Coturnix japonica: one gene and its partner. The protein of the gene in region 2 interacts with the protein of the main gene of each other region in a pairwise test. Links are inferred from orthologs where the notes say so. Each region holds a gene or a part of one and is shown on either strand. Other genes may lie near its edges.

What was found.
Region 1: the proteins of KCTD6 (region 2) and GRB7 interact in binary tests that used the Homo sapiens proteins (3 or more experiments, as listed by UniProt). The two-hybrid records come from large-scale screens. The link is inferred for Coturnix japonica from reciprocal best matches to the Homo sapiens genes KCTD6 and GRB7.

What each region holds. Positions count from the first base shown.
Region 1 is NC_029542.1:3,938,280-3,940,437, reverse strand, and holds the end of GRB7 (growth factor receptor-bound protein 7), read right to left. Parts: intron 2,092-2,158; coding exon 1,975-2,091; intron 1,898-1,974; coding exon 1,837-1,897; intron 1,734-1,836; coding exon 1,646-1,733; intron 1,420-1,645; coding exon 1,326-1,419; intron 1,252-1,325; coding exon 1,105-1,251; 3' UTR 655-1,104; downstream 1-654. Other genes in the region: RDH8 (retinol dehydrogenase 8), read right to left, coding at 60-221, 296-392. UniProt on the Homo sapiens protein: Adapter protein that interacts with the cytoplasmic domain of numerous receptor kinases and modulates down-stream signaling. Promotes activation of down-stream protein kinases, including STAT3, AKT1, MAPK1 and/or MAPK3. Promotes activation of HRAS.
Region 2 is NC_029527.1:9,337,131-9,340,887, reverse strand, and holds the start of KCTD6 (BTB/POZ domain-containing protein KCTD6), read right to left. Parts: upstream 2,251-3,757; 5' UTR 1,891-2,250; intron 1,544-1,890; exon of another isoform or gene 642-1,543; intron 1-641. Other genes in the region: PDHB (pyruvate dehydrogenase E1 component subunit beta, mitochondrial), read left to right, coding at 2,389-2,487, 2,609-2,716, 2,790-2,852, 2,930-2,965, 3,052-3,337. UniProt on the Homo sapiens protein: Probable substrate-specific adapter of a BCR (BTB-CUL3-RBX1) E3 ubiquitin-protein ligase complex mediating the ubiquitination and subsequent proteasomal degradation of target proteins.

The DNA of each region.
Region 1 (2,158 bases), on a different chromosome or scaffold from region 2:
CACGGAGCATCTCTCATCCTATGCTCCATGCTGCAGGGCCATACAGGGATGTGGCTCACCCAGAACATCAACGTGGCGCCCAGGGATGCTGTCGAGGCAGGCGCGGATGGACGCCTCATCACACACATCCAGCTGCTTCACCTCCAGTGTCCGGCCCAGCGCTGACCCCGCTGCCTCCACCAGCGCTCCACTGCGGGACACGTTCCTCACCGTGGCAATGACTGAGGGGGGGCACAGGAGGGATCAGCCCCCCACCCTCCCCATTTACACCATTGGGACCCCCTGTTCTGCTCACCTCGGAAGCGGCGCTGCTTGTCCCGTGCCAGGCGCACCGCCAGCGCCAGCCCGATGCCGGATGAGCAGCCGGTGATCAGCACGGTGCGGGGAGCCATGGCCACGGCCTCACCACCCACCTCATGGCTTTAATAGCTACTGGCCCCAAATCCCAGCTCTAATCCCCCCTCCCCACTAATCCTCCCCAGCTCTGGGATTTATGGGGCCGCGTGGCTGAGCTGCACGTGGTGCACAGAGGGGCCTTTGTGTGGCACCGGGGGGCACTGCAGGGACATGGCAGTGTGGGGGTGCTGCTGCCATGCAATGGGGCTGACCCCCCCGGCATGGTGTGAGGATGGCAATGGAAAGGGGAGAAACGGGAGCTCTGAAAAAATAACGTTTATTCTCACTTTGTATAAAACACATCACAGTTCGACTGGCCTTGGGTTGGGGGGGGGTTCATGGGGAGATGTGGTGGGGACCCCAAGCCCCTCATCCTCCTGATTGGGAGGGAGCATCTCCATGAGCCCCCTGGAGATGGGGATGAGGGGTCTGCAGCCATGACCCCATGAGAAGGAGGGGCTGGTGCTGGGGGGGACAAAGTGCAAGAGTGTGAGGGGCCACAGCAGTGGGGTGTGGGGTGAGCCCCCCGGCCCCTCCTGCGCTCACTGCTGCGAGTGGTGCCCTGGTGCGCTGGCAGGGACGTGCTGCACCGTGTTGACTGTGTCGAGCTGTGCCAGCACTGCTGCATGGTGCCGAGCTGTGCCAACCTATGGCAGCAATGCATGGTGCCATGCTGAGCTGTGCTGAGCCGTGCCAGCAGCGCCGGGCTCATAGGGCCACGCAGGTGCAGTAGTGCCGCAGCTTGCAGGGCAGGATGCCACGGTTGATCTGGTGGAACTCCACGAGCTGGATGAGGTCAGCAAAGCGGGTCTGTCCGTCGTCCATGGTGAAGTAGAGCCGCCCTTCCTCCTCACTCTGCCAGACAGGTGAGCATCAGGCCCGGCTGTGCCCCCACCCCCCCATATTCCTCCCACAGCCATGATACTCACTGGCAGGATGAGATAGTGCTTGACTTTCTGCAGGTGGCACAGGGACAGCACGAAGCCCTTGGGGTTACGCTGGCTCTCCCGCACCAGGAACACGCTGTGAGCCCCAGAGCAGAGTCACCCCAAAGCCCCAAGGGACCCTGTGTGACCCCTCTGTCTCCCTCCACCTTGGGATCCTATTCCCCACCACCCACCTCCCTGGCTCCAGGACCTCCCTATACCCCCTGTAAACCCTCTATGAGCTGTGGGACCCTGTGGCCCCCCAGGGGCTGTGTGCACCTCAGGGGTCCCTGATCCCCTCTACAACCCCCCCAGTTCTGTACCCATCCACCAGCCCCTGGCGGCCAATGAGCTGCTGGGTGTCCTCCCGTGAGATGCGTCCGTGGAACCACGGCTGGGTGCGATGGATGGCTGCGGGCAGAGGAGAGGGTCATCAGAAGGGACCCCCACCCACTCCAAGCAGGGACCCTCATAGTGGGGGTCTCCATGCTCCTCCCCTATGGGCGCTGCTCACCAGCACTGAGTGGGGAGCTCTGGCAGGCAGCAGGCAGGCTGTACCGGTGCGTTGTCTTCTTCTGTCCGTGCAAAGCAAGCAGCAGAGTGAGCACACAGTGAGGAGGGGTCCCACTCCCAGCCTGTGCCCCCCACTCACCCTCCAGGCCTGCGCCTCCTCCAGCACCGCTGTCAGCACCTCGCTGGGGTTCTCAATCACCCGCCCTGTGCACCCTGAGAAGTCCATGGCCACCAGCGCGCTGTCTGACACGCTCTGCTGTGGGGACAGTGACAGCGAGCTTAGAGGAGGGGGGGCTCCCCATGGGTCAGGGCTGCAGCTGGAG
Region 2 (3,757 bases):
CCCAGGTTGCTGCTAACATGCAACTATTTTAAAAGCTGAAATTCAAAGAAAGCAAATGAGAGCGGGCTGAACATCTGCATCTGTGAACACACATCCAGGACAGAGGCAGGGGATGTCAGCAGCACTGCCAAGTGTTTGCACTGCTGGGACTGAATACAGCACACTTGGCCCTGGGCACAGACTGCACACACTGCACTTGGATAGAACACAGCAGTTGTACCATCCTATGCAGGCAGATGAAGGAGGAGCAGAAACGCACCTAGCAGTCACAAGTCAAAAGGCACACGGCATCTGAGCTGCTCTGAATGCTTCTCAGCTACCTTGCTCAAAGGGAAGGACACAAACTGTTTACGGTCTACACAAACTGTTTAGTCTCAATATGTACTGAAGACTCCAAGGTCAATATAAAGTTGACAGGACTTCTACTAAGCCAGTCTGGTATTTATACAGATAAATACCTGCGGTTCATGCTGCTCTCCCACTTAGCGAGCTCACTGTCTCTGACATTAAGATCTCCAAAGATGAGAAAATGAAACTCCTGCTCTCAGTAGCCACACTGTCAATGGACAGCCTCTCTAATCCTGAGCCAGTCTTAAAATGTGAAGGCAAGTTTTTATTGCAAATCATTACCAGTGACTCACCTGAATCGACAGTCCTTCAGCCAGTGTAATTAACGACTGCCTTCCACAGAACTGCAGAGCAAGGCAATAGTCTGCAGAGCAAACCCAAGGCCATACAGTGCTGAGCTACCCCAAGCAACAAACTATGCTATGGAAACAACCGCTTACCAAAACTTCTGGTAATACCACAGCTTGGCATTGCTAAAGGATGAATCCCTCACCTACACACGTCAAGTTTACAATGATTAACACAGTTTATTAGAACGTAACTTCTCCTTATTTTCTCTGCTTCTTTTGGTTAATATTTCAGCCTTCACCTCAGGCAAGAGAGCAAAACACCAACAGTGGCCACTCAGCATTCTCGCTCCTTTATGCCTAATTGCTTCACTATGAATTCCAAGCTCTGAAAGTTTCTTTCCCACACCTGAGGAACAATACAACATCTCAGTTTGGGACTGGGTTCTGAAGCTCCATCTGCCAGATGCTTGAAAATCCCACATCACCATTTGACCCTCCTCATGCAGGAGTCCAAGGACTGCAACTGCACCTGCCCTGCTCCTGCTGGCACCACACAGTCACTCTGCACAGTGTCAGTAGTTGGTTTTACCCACGTATCTTGTTCCATGGCACCAGCAGGCAGCTGTGTGCATGGGGAAACATCTCCCAGCAGTGCTGGATGAAGGCAGGTGTCAGGAGCACATCCTGCACAGCCAACAGTGCTGACACAGGGACCAAGCAGCAGGATGGTGACAAGAATCGTCCCTTCAAACCCAGGCCCACAGGAGGAGTCGGGAACAGCCGCTTTCCATCCCAGAGGAACGCACGGAAGGAAATCTCCCCCTGAGATCGCAATGATTCAGCAAAGGATGCTGGACACGACTGCACCGCTCCACCCGCTGCCCCCAAGTGCCCATCGCCTGGATACCGCTCCCGGCCCCAGCCCGGCCCTCCTGCAGCGAGGGGCAGCCCCTGTTCGAACTGAGGGCCGGGTACAGCCTCACAACATCCCAAACGGGGCCCGGCAGCCCCCAGCCCCAGGTACCCGCAGTCCCACAGGGGGCCCAGCCCCGTTTCCCCCCCCCCAGTGCAGCCTCCGGCCGCTCACAGCCCCGTGTTTCCCTCCCACCCCCCACAGCAGCACAGCACAGCACAGCACAGCATAGCACAGCACAGCACAGCACAGCACAGCACAGCACAGCACAGCATAGCATAGCATAGCATAGCACAGCCCGGCCCGGCCCGGCCCGGCCCCGCCCCTCCTCACACTCACAGTCGCAGGTCCCGGCGCTGAAGCAGAGCCCGGCGATGATGGGGGCGACTGAACCGGGAGCGAAGCAGCCGCCGAGGAGGGAGGAGCGGGGGCGGGTTCTGCCGCGATCCCCTCCCCGTGTCTCCGCCCGCTCCGCTCGGGTGAGGGAGGGAAGCCGCCTCCTTTCACCTCAGGGCCGACAGTGGGGACACCTCGCTCCGCCCCACGCCTCCTTGGCGGGCAGTTGTGTCACTGAAGAGGGGCACACAGATGAAGGGGGGCGGTGGGGGCGGTGCGGTCCCGGCGGCAGGAGGCGATGCCGCGTTGATCGCGCCCCGAGCGGCGCCATGCGAGCAGCACCGAGCGCGGCACGGCCTCACCGCCACCACAGCGCGAGACCGGAAGTGACGCATAAAAAGAGCGCTGGCTGCCAGCGCCAGTTCTCGCGAGAGTTCAGGCAGGGGCCGAGGTAGCGCGGGGGCCGGGCCGTTGCCCGGTGCTATAGAGGACACGGCCAAGATGGCGGCGGCGGCGGGAGCGCTGCGGCTGCTGGTGCCGCGAGGCCGCCTTCTCTCGCCACGCAGAGGCTTCCACCTCTCCGCGCCCGCCGCCATCCAGGTACGGGCCGTGAGGATGGAGCTGGGGCGGGGGGTTCATCCGTACGGGCGGGGTGGTGCGGGTGAGCCGAGGGACGGCCGCCCTGCCCTGCCCAGCACTGCCCGGCTGCCGCTTCCCGCAGGTGACGGTGCGGGACGCGCTGAACCAGGCGCTGGACGAGGAGCTGGAGCGGGATGAGCGTGTGTTCATGCTGGGCGAGGAGGTGGCACAGTACGACGGTGCCTACAAGGTGAGGGAGGGGGGGCCCTGCCGGGGCCGCAGTGCGGGCTGTGCGGGGGCTGACACCGCTCCGATCCTTTCAGATCTCCAGGGGGCTGTGGAAGAAATACGGGGACAAGAGGATCATCGACACCCCCATCTCCGAGGTACGGCGCGGGGCTCCCCCCACAGGGCTCCCCGTGGGCCGAGCTGTGGCGCTTAATGCTGTTTGCTCCTCTTCCAGATGGGCTTCGCAGGAATCGCCGTTGGTGCCGCAATGGTCAGTACGCCCTCAGTCCTAATGAACTGATGTACAAAACGAGCTGCTTTGGTGTTAAAACATATCGTATGGTCTAACTCTGATAGGCGGGGTTGAGGCCGGTGTGTGAATTCATGACGTTCAACTTCTCCATGCAAGCAATCGACCAGGTTATCAACTCTGCTGCCAAGACGTGCTACATGTCTGCAGGAACCATCGCCGTCCCCATCGTGTTCCGTGGCCCCAACGGGGCTTCAGCTGGCGTTGCCGCACAGCACTCGCAGTGCTTCGCTGCCTGGTACGGGCACTGCCCGGGGCTGAAGGTTGTCAGTCCTTGGAGCTCAGAAGATGCCAAGGGGCTGCTGAAGGCATCGATCCGGGACGATAATCCAGGTGAGCACAGTCAGATGACGGCAGTATTTAACTCTCATTTCTGAATGCTTCTTTTCCTCTCCCACCTCATGTAAAAAGATAAAAAGTTTATTCAGCACTTAAGCATTTTGTGCTGTTCTAACCTGCTTGCAGGTACTCATCTAGAAGCTTTGAAAGACACATTTATGAACTCATTGTAAAGGCATTATAAAGGATGAAGATGAGTCAGGAGAAGTACCTGCAGATACAGTACAGTGTAACTCATTTTTTAGAGTTGATGAAGCTTAGATGATAAATTCAGAATCTCATTAAGCAAAATCAGGGCAACCTTCATCTTTCTTTCTCACAAGCACACGTGCAAAATGTAAGGCTTTTTCTGAAGCTAGCAGTTCTACAGAAACATTTCTTAGCCACAGCCTTTGCAGTTTTCCCTTGATCTAC